Linked DNA regions of Cricetulus griseus. The protein of the gene in region 3 interacts with the protein of the main gene of each other region in a pairwise test. Links are inferred from orthologs where the notes say so. Each region holds a gene or a part of one and is shown on either strand. Other genes may lie near its edges.

Evidence for each region.
Region 1: the proteins of Esr1 (region 3) and Tram1 interact in a two-hybrid assay, tested with the Homo sapiens proteins (2 studies listed by BioGRID). The link is inferred for Cricetulus griseus from reciprocal best matches to the Homo sapiens genes ESR1 and TRAM1.
Region 2: the proteins of Esr1 (region 3) and Med25 interact in a two-hybrid assay, tested with the Homo sapiens proteins (2 studies listed by BioGRID). The link is inferred for Cricetulus griseus from reciprocal best matches to the Homo sapiens genes ESR1 and MED25.

The regions. Positions count from the first base shown.
Region 1 is NC_048595.1:147,041,568-147,045,319, reverse strand, and holds the start of Tram1 (translocating chain-associated membrane protein 1), read right to left. Parts: upstream 2,553-3,752; 5' UTR 2,386-2,552; coding exon 2,263-2,385; intron 1-2,262. UniProt on the Homo sapiens protein: Involved in the translocation of nascent protein chains into or through the endoplasmic reticulum (ER) membrane by facilitating the proper chain positioning at the SEC61 channel.
Region 2 is NC_048599.1:153,715,582-153,718,599, forward strand, and holds part of Med25 (mediator of RNA polymerase II transcription subunit 25), read right to left. Parts: intron 2,058-3,018; coding exon 1,869-2,057; intron 1,575-1,868; coding exon 1,503-1,574; intron 1,402-1,502; coding exon 1,183-1,401; intron 1,048-1,182; coding exon 867-1,047; intron 450-866; coding exon of another isoform or gene 352-449; exon of another isoform or gene 320-351; intron 1-319. UniProt on the Homo sapiens protein: Component of the Mediator complex, a coactivator involved in the regulated transcription of nearly all RNA polymerase II-dependent genes.
Region 3 is NC_048595.1:282,651,463-282,654,650, forward strand, and holds part of Esr1 (estrogen receptor), read left to right. Parts: intron 1-1,226; coding exon 1,227-1,461; 3' UTR 1,462-3,188.

The DNA.
Region 1 (3,752 bases), about 140 Mb from region 3:
AAATCCCCTAATATTTCGTCACTATTCTTCCACAAAAGATGTAACAATTCTGCAAAACAACAGCATCTCTATGTTTCAGCATACACACTGTACTTCTAAGTCAAACAGCAAAAAACCAGCCAGTCAATTTCTCCTGTGCATAAATAAATGTGTCTTCAAAACTTACATCTTTAACATATGGTTAAAGAAAATGAATGACTTGTACAAACTGCTCTGTTCTGTTTACCATTTTAACATTCACTCCTTTTGGGAGTGACTTTAAAAGCTTCTATTTAGCATGAAAACAATCCACTTAGTGTTAAGACTTTTAATCCCAGCACTTGGGAGGCAGAGGCAGGTGTTTTTTTTTTGAGGTCAAGGCCAGCCTGGTCTACAGAGTGAGTTCCAGGACAGCCAGGACTTTTACACAGAAACCTTGTCTCAAAAAGAACAAAAAACAAACAAAAACTATTAACATAATAGTGAATTTCCTTAGAAAATGTGGCAAAAGAATACAAAGCAGAATACAAATGCATAAAAACAGAGGTTGTGGTATTTCTAAGTGTCCAAATTTCCGGTTTATATTTCACTTTACTTAAAGAACTGCAAATAAGCTGTAAGGATTATCATATCCCTAAATTATGCCTCTTAAGTCAGGAACTGTTACCATCAGAAGTTGGAGATGGCCAGTCATAAAAAAACTGTTGTGTATACTGTGCATATAAAATGATTGCATTTTATTTTTATTACTTTACTATTATTTTTAAGACAGGGAGGGAATTGGAATTCACTATGTAGTCCACACTGGATTTGAATTCACAATTCTCCTGCGTTGGACTCTTGATAAGCATCTACCAACTATTTTAATATTTTAGCAGGATAAAAGGTCATAAATTCAGAGATTACAAATATTTAATATTGTGTGTGTTGCTGATAATTGAGCCCAGGACCACGCTTCTGACACATCAGAAACAAGCATGCACTAGAGACCGGGGGTTCAGGCCAAGCACAGAGCTCTTGTCTAACCCTGCACCATTTTACCACAGGGCCACACACCAAACCCTACATTTTAAACACCGCCCAATCATATAATATTGTCAGACTTCTACAAGCCAAATTATCTGATTGACTCTTCAACAACAGCTATGTGGCCTGTGCAAGTGATTTCTATTTCGTTTGTTAAGGGGAGATAAATTAAGTCTCAGATTTGGGTTGCTGAGTAAGCTTTTTGACAAAGTTAGTTCTACTTTCCCTTCACTCTGCCACCTCCTTAGTAGTGGCTACAACTGCATGTGACACTATCAGGAATATGTAGTACCATATGGAGATTCAGAAAAGTCTATTAGAAGAGAGGTAAACATAACATAGAAAGTTATCTATAACATAGCACCCCCCCCCACCATGGGCTAACAAAAAACCAAAACCGTATTCACCTTTCATCACCGGCTGTCTCATTCCATTAGTTTCTTGCTTACACTCAAATCTTTAGAGCTCTATTCTCGACAACAGAAAAAAAAACTAGTAAAAATGTGTAATAAAATATCCTCACTAGGTTACACGCCAAGGGGAGAGGAGACAAAATGGTAATCATCAATACATTTAATGAGAGTCAGAGGCTTACAGATAAAAAAATTAGAAGGGGGGAGGGAGTGGGCGGATGTACTGAGGAGGGTGGAAAAAACCCGTAGGATGTTACAGGTTCACCTTGCAAACTTCATTACCCACATTCAACAGCTGTTAAATAAGTCATCAAAACACTCAGATCTGTGGGAAGAGAATTTACACATTCCTGACAGGCTCATCGCCTCTGCTTCAAGAAACGAAATCGCTCAACTCCTCAACACAGCTGTTGCGAGCCTCGGTCGGGATCAGACCCGATCCTCCGGGAACGGAGAGCCAAGGCACAAAGTTGGGTGACTGGCCATCGGCAGGGCGAGGGGCCACGGGTGAGGACACCCCGTCCCCGCCCTCCACGCAGGCGGCAGCCGCCGGGGTGGGTCGGGGGGTCCCCGCCAGTCACCCGGCCCTGCTGCCCTGGCCCCGGGTCCGCCCACCGCGCAGGGCCAGCGCCACGACCGCGCCCGCCGCCCCCGCCGGCCCCTCGCCGGCTGCCACGTAACCCTTCGCGGGAAGCAGGAACTGCGCGGCGCGGGAGGGGGCGGCGGGCCGAGCCGGGGCCGCAGGGCCGCGGGGGGCTGCGCAGCGCCGGCCGGCTCTTCTGGGGTCGCCTGCCTCGGCCGGGGATCGGGGGGGAGCCGAGAACCGGGACGGAGGAGGGCTCACCTCGAACATGAGCCCCAGCAGGAAGAGCATCGCCAGGCAGGAGACGATGTCCGCGTGATTCTGCAGCACGAATTCATGGCTCAGCAGCGGCGGGTTCTTGTTGCTCTTCTTGCGAATCGCCATGGTGGAGCCTCCGCCGCCTGTGCCTGCAGGTGCTCCCTCCGCCCGGTCCCGCGCTCTGGGCTGCTCACCGCCGCGCTGCCGCTGCCGCCGCCGCCTCCCGCTGGCTGCTCCGCACAGCCCCGCCGCAGCCGCTCGCTGGGGCTTCACTTCCCATCCCACAGCCAGTACGCAGCCGCCGGGCGGCCCCGAAAAAAAAAAAAAAAAAAAAAAAAAAAAAGAGAGAGAGGGGAAAAAAAAAAAAAAAAAAAGAGCCCGCAACCGAGGCGAGCATGCGCACAGGGGAGGGACCGCGCGCTCGCGCCCTGGCCGCGCCTGGCGTCTCACAGCGCCCCCTGTGGGCTGGAGGCCGCAGGACACGGCTGGCGCACCGAGGCTTCGCGCCGGGCCGGGAGTTGGGAGTCGTTTGGGGCGCGAGCTCCCTGGGAATGGTGCCTGTGGTCGCGTGCTTCAGAGTGTGCACGGCTGCCCGGTGCCTTCGCGCCTTCCTGGCCCGTCCTGGCCTTGGTGCTACCGCGTTCTTCCACACTGATGGGCAGTTGTGTAAGCGACAGTCACCGTCCAGAAAATCTGGAAAAAAGAAGTAGCCTGCCTATTTAAAGGGGTTTTCGATAGTTTGAGCATCTGACTTCAAACGTTGCAGCGGCCGAGCCAGGGATTGTGGCTGACTCCAGTAATCCCTTGGTTTGGGAGGCTGAGGCAGAAGTGCTGTGAATTTAATACCATCCAGGGCTACATAGCAACAGATTGTTTCGCAGTTAAAAAAAAAAAAAAAAAAAAAAAAAAAAAAAGGACTGGGTTTAAATTCTTGCTTGCCTCAGTTCTTTTGTAATTTTTCCTCCAGACTCCCCCTCTCCACTGGGATTACTTGTTACATCGTATTATCGCTATTTAGGAAATTGTGAAAGAAGATCCCTTGCCACACCTCTTTCCTACTTGTGCTGAGCCCGGGATCTTTATTTTTCCTGAAAGGTTGCACTACTTGCCCAATCTAGAAGCCCAAATCAGCGTATGTCACATCTTTTTATTATCTTTCGATATCCATTCCAGCACCAAACCAAAGCAATTCAGCCTCCCATCCCCATTGCCACTCTCCTAAATCCCAGAAGGGGACCTACCCGGGAATATTAAATCTCTGGAGTAATCATGGTGGTTTTAAAAGGTGGTTATTGAATAATGCTCAACTTATTATCTGCATTTTTAGACAAGTTACTTCTGTGAGACCCAATTTCCTTATTTATGCATCTCTTTACTCAAAAAGTATGGAATGGGAGTCCCCCCAGTACCAGGAACTCAAGGAAAATTTCAAATTAACCTATTCTTTTGGGTTTTCGTTCTTGTGCAGAGGGAGGATCTTTAAAAAAGAATTT
Region 2 (3,018 bases), on a different chromosome or scaffold from region 3:
TCCACCTCCTGACCTTGCCTGTCCCTTTACTGTGGCTTTGGCTATCTGCACCTTAGTACCTCCTGGCTCCCAACTGCTGCTTCTCCTTCCAGGCTCCTCGGAACCCTGGCTGGGTCAGAGGCATTCTGGGCTCTGTAACCCCTTGAGTGCACATGAGCTGTACACTATCTGCCCACCTGCCTCTGAGTCTCCCAGAACCAGGCCTCACCATGCTGCCTCCAACTCCCCCCGTGGCCCAGCATCACCCAGCCGGGGCCTTGGGGAGTCTGCAAGGCGAGAGCAAAGACAGCCCTAGGGGCGTCAGTGACGGGAGCCGGGAATCGTTAAAAGGAACTTTATTGGGTGTTGGGTTCAGATGAGGTCCATGAGGATGTCGTCCTCCATGACGCTGGGCTGCAGGCCCGGCTGGGGGACCGGGCCCCGGGGACCCCCGCTCAGCAGCATCTGACCTGGGGGGCAGTGGGAAGGGACTGCATCTCCCAGTGGTCCCTGGGACCATTGAGGACCCTGGACCTCTCATCCCCTCTTCTGGGAACCCAAGGCAGTCAGGTTTCTAGGAAGCTCCAGGGACCACCAGAGCCAGGGATCCTTCTAAGCCCAATTAGATGCAGACATTTTCCTTTGACCCTTTGGGAGCCCTTCCCCCGACAGCATCACTGACCCTAAGGTATCTTCCAGCATCCCAGGGCAGCATATAAGGATTATGGAAAGCTCTCACTCACTGAGGCATTGTTCCCATGGCTAAACTTCCCAATGGCCCTCTAAGCCCCCTAGAGCTATGGGGAGGCCCTTTGGTAATGGGGTCCTTGCCAGTGGCTGCAAGGACTCCCAGTCTAGACCTCTACCCTCCCCTAGAACACCCTTACCTGGCAGTGGAGCCCGCTGGGGAAGCTGTGTGGGCCAAGACTGGGCAGGTGGAGGGTGGAGGAGTTGTGGCCCCAGCTGGGGCTGCCCCAGGCTCTGATGTGGTGGAGGCAGCAGTGCAGGGGCCCCTGGAGGCTGCAGGTGGTGGAGGGAGGCCTGGGGTGGGGGTACCCCAGTCTGGGGCTGGGGAAGACAAAGAATGGCTCAGAGGGCCCAGTCTGTGCTCCAGAAAGGCCCTGCTGGTACAGCCCACCCCTTCCTCCCAGAGATACTGGGTAAGAACCTGCAATTCCCTGTTGCTCTATTCCCATGCCTCACCGGTGGTGGGTTAAGGAGGAGGCTCCGCAACTGGGGGTTGGCCCCAGGGTTCTGGGGCCGAAGGATAGGTCCAGAAGGTGGTGGGCCGGGGGCTGTTCCTGGAGGACCCTGGGGTGCTCCTGTGGGGGCCTGGGTAGTACCTTGTGGCTGGGGCTGCCCTGTAGCCACAGAGGCCCCCACAGCACCCTGAGGCTGGGGCTGTGGTGCACGGAGCTGGAGCTGGAGAACAGACAGCGTGAGCAAGGACAAGCAGTAGGGAACTGCCCTAGCTCCACCCAACCTCCATCCCCAATCCCACCAGTCCCCACCCAAGTCCTCACTAGGTTCTGCGGGGGCCTCGCTTGGTCCTCCAGAATGGGGCCCAGGCCTGGAAGTGCCTGCTGTGCCCCCATCTGCACGGGGACAGAGAGGACAGATCAGTGGTGAGGGAAGGCTGTCTGAACCTGTTGGAGGACCTGGTGTGTAGGAGGAAGGTGCCTTTCTTTGGGGACATACCATCTAGTAGGTGCATCACACCCTGCCTGACCAATAAGGAAGGCCTGTATCAGGGACTGCCGTGGAAACTGAGAAGGGACTAAAGCTGCTCTGCTAGGACACAAGGGGCACATTGGACTCAGACAGGCGGCTTATGGCTGACTGGGCTCTGGGGAGCTATGAGAGGACACTGGCTTGCCACTACCACTCACCCCTCGCTGCTGCTCCAGCTTCTGCTGCTGGACCTGCTTGTGGTTGGTGATGACCTGGCGGATGCCATTGACAAAGCCACTCTGGTCGTAGGGGATGAGGCCCATGAAGATCTTTTTCTTAGATGAGTACAGGAGCATGAGCACACGCACCTCGCATGGGGCTGTATGCGGGAAGTGCACGCAGCCCGCCTGTGGACAGAGACTCTTCAGAAGCAGCCTACCCGAGAGGCATGGGCTAGCCTACCTCAGCCTATAAAATTCTACAAGCCTTATAGGCAAGAGGTAGGGAGGTCTCACTGTACAAGGCCAGGGAGGCCAGGTTGGCGCAGCAGCTGCCCTGGAAACAAAAAATTGTGAGTGACAGGCACTCAAAGGGCACAGCAAGACCAAAGTCCCTGCTGACCACCGAGGAGACAGCAGGTCACACCAGAAGCCCATGGTGACCCTGACTGAGTGGCTCTACCTCATGTCTCCCACTATATAGCACTGGGTTATCTCATCAAATCACACTGGACAGGGCTCCACTGGGGAGGGTGGCAGGAAGTCAGGGTCAGACCCTTGAAGGTGGCTCTATCTCTGCCAGGGCCTCCAGCATGGACCAGAGAATGGCAACATCACAAGGATGCCATTTTGGGATTCAGAGTCTCCATGGGCTCTCAGGGAACTAACTGGCTTTGGCTACCTGGGTTTACTTCTCAGGACTTGCAGCTAGTGCATCAACACACCCCTCTCCTTAACCCAGTCCAGCACAGAACAGGCAGTGCCACCCAGGCCAGATACTGGAGTGTCCTCCCCTACAGGGGTGCAGCCTAGGAACCCAGCCAGGCCCAGATAAAAGGAGGCCTGGTCAGAAGTTGTGAACATTTCTCGCTTCCTGAAGTCATTGCCTCTTCCAAATGTTTAAAGGGACTCAAAAGCTAAGGTAACCATCTTGAGCCTGTGAGAGGCCTAGGCATTGAGGTCACTGAGCTCTCCTTCTGTATCCTGGCCTGCAGCAAAAACAGGCCATTTGTTGGAACATTCCCTCAGAATTCAGTGTTTTCACTGAGGAGGACAGCAGATGAGCCACACCACAGAGGGTTCTTGGCCCAGCTGACCTTCCTGACAACAGCCCCAGCAGACCCACAGACACGAGAGAGGTACAGCAGGC
Region 3 (3,188 bases):
TTTTGTGGCACTGCTCAAACCTGGGCTGGCTTGTTACTACCACCAATAGAAGTATAATAAGGACATTCTCTTAGTTCTGCCTGTTCGTTCATGATATACACAATATACATTGCTGTGTCTATTTATTCTAGTTTTTTTTGAAAAATATTCTCATTATAGAGTTGAAGCTAGGCTGGAAAATACCATATAATGTAGGATGGCCTTGAGTTTGCAAGTTTACCCTCCCCCACTCCAAAGTGCTAGGATTACAGGTGTTCTCCATCACACCCAGGTACATACCTCTTATAAAAGTTCAAGCCATGAAAGAGCTAGGGTTTCCCACTTCCACTGCTTACCTGCCTGAGAGAGCAAAGAGGCACAAGAGGAAAGAGAAAAGTCATTTGCCTACATCTCTGTCTTCCTATTTTCTCCACTGTTCCTTGTGAGCAGCATTTACTGCTGCTGTTCTGAGCTCCGGTAGAAGATGGTGTAATATGGAAGGAAAAGCCTGCAAGATAGAGGCTGGACCATTGCCACAGGGAAACCAAGGTCTCTTGCTTACAAGAGGCCTTTGAGGATCCCATGGAAGTGCATCCAGGAAAAGGGAACAGAATGTCTGGATTCTATGGTCTATGTGTGTCTTAATTCCATTAAGGAGCAACTCAAAGACCAATGACAGAGAGTTAGTCAGTTCAGGATGACAGACAGGGTATTCTCTGCAAGGGAGATGAAGGCAGGTCATTTGGTCTACAGAAAGCCTGGATAGAAAATTTGATTTTATTCTGAATATTATCAGAGGCCATTGGAAAGTGTAGGCCAGGACCCCAGCCCATAGAATGAAGCTTCTAAAGTTAGGGTGGGTCTTCTGATCTCAATCAAGGCAAGCTAGAAATGACCTCGTAGACATCCACAGATACCTAGAGCTTGTCACGCTGACATTCAACATTAACTATCATAGAGAGGAAAATGCATAGAAAATTCTCCAAAAGAAGCTGGAGAAAGAGTATGGTTGGGGTGCCCCCTTATAGGATGGAGAAAATGAAAATACACGAGCATGAGTCCCAGCCCGAGCCTCTGAAGCCCCTCGGCATCTCCAGATGCCTCCAAAAGATTTTTCCCTAATGGGTGGAAAGACTGGTTCACAAGTGGCTTTGGAGTTTCTCTTACCTCACCCTCCTAGGAATTTTAGGCATCCTGGAGTTCAGCTGTGACCTAACCTGCTTCTCTCTGCATCCCTTCTCCCCCAGCAACAAAGGCATGGAGCATCTCTACAACATGAAATGCAAGAACGTTGTACCCCTCTATGACCTGCTGCTGGAGATGCTGGATGCTCACCGCCTGCATGCTCCAGCCAGTCGCATGGGAGTCTCCCCAGAGGAGCCCAGCCAGAGCCAGCTGACCACCACCAGCTCCACTTCATCACATTCCTTACAAACATACTACATCCCCCCAGAAGCAGAGAGTTTCCCCAACACGATCTGAGAGCTCCCGGGCTCCCCCAAGGCTCTGAGAATCCCTGCAGCATCTTGCCCATGTCATGTATCACTTTAGCAGAATCCTGTCTCCTGCGTACACTCTGGCATGCATCCACCACCAGTGGCTTTCTAGTAGGAGTGGCCATTCATTTGCTTGCTCAGTTCTTAGTGGCGTGTCTTCTGTTGGGAACAGCCAAACGGGATTCCAGGGCTAATTCTTGGTAACAGCTCTCTTTCCCCCTTTGCTACATCACTAAGTCTGAGGGTTCCTTGACCAAATGGAGATAGCTGCATTGAAGCTACTAGTTGAGACCCAAGCCTAGAGAGTCAACATTTCACCTCTGATAAGCACTTTGTAATGGCTCCAAGAGCAAGCCTCAGCAAAGACTTGGAAGTGGCTCCTTTAATTGAAGCCTTGGAGAAAGCTCTCTCTTGGGTTCCTTAATCTACACGTACCCTCTTGTATTCCTATAGCAACATTTGATTTTATTAAAGGGAAATCTTGAGCCCCTATAGGAATACAGGATGCATGCAGGGAAGGAAGACTGTCCCCCTCCCCATTGTCAAGACCCTGTCAATTTAATATACTGCACCTTCAGGCTTCTAAAGCATCAACTGTTGAGCACTGTACACAGGTTATGGGCTCTAGATAATTCTTACTTCCCATGACTGGTGGGAACCAGTAAGTCAGTTTCAGTTAACACCCTAATGTGAGGGCTATAGGGTGTTGGGATTTTATTTGATTTTCATTTTATAATGGCCTTATGCCCCTGGGACATGCAGTAAAGGCAACTTGGTACCTGTTCTGGTGAGTCTAGCATTCATCAGTAGAGGGCACTCTCCCTGTCTCCCCTCCATGTGAATTGCCCTGAATTGTCCCCATGTAGAGTCACCAAGGGGCAGCTACATTTAACCTACACCCTGGCGATACCTTTTGTTTTACTTAGTTTTATTCTTGGGTGAAGAACAAATAATAAATGTACAATGATTGTGTCTCAGAAGGAGTCTGATCAAGAAAGAAAGTAGGGGAGAAATGTTTTGAAACACCTGCCACAGGTAGCAGTTTCCCAGGGCTGTCCTTTACAGTGATACACAGTGGGGCTGCCCTGGGATCCGATAGCTGGTTGTCTCTTTATTTTAGGTTTGGGCCTGATTGGAAGAGGCAACAGTAGATACCTGTGTTCCTGCAATTCTTCCAGGAGCTTGGGGGAGTCATGGGGGCAAGGTCTTGGAGCACCCATGACTCAAGCTGCTGAGGAGTTGCTCAGACTAGAGTGTCCTTGACTATTCAGAACTCATCCCAACAGCAGTTGGTGTGGCCCTGGGAAGAAAACCCCATGCCTCCCCACAGCTCATGTACCTAAACGTCATAAACCAGAGAGTAAGACCAGATTTGGGCCATGAGAGTCCTTTGACCAAGGGGATAAAAAGAAAGGCTTACCCTAGTCACAGCATCTACAGTCCCCAGGGTGTGGGCCTCTCTAGTGAAACTAAGGATTGTTTCCTTTTCTGAAACAAAACGCAAGTTTGGTTCCTTCCCTGACTTCATTACCTACAATCTGAACTCCATAGATATGAGATGTGTTAGCCAACAGCCCAGGGGAATGGCTAGGCTTCTCTTGGTCTGTTCTATTTGGAATGGTGGGTTCCATGAACTTCTGGTCTCCCAGTTAAGTGACTACCAAAGAACTGGGAAACTGGGCGTGCCAATTGTTCTTTCTTCTTTTTTTTTTT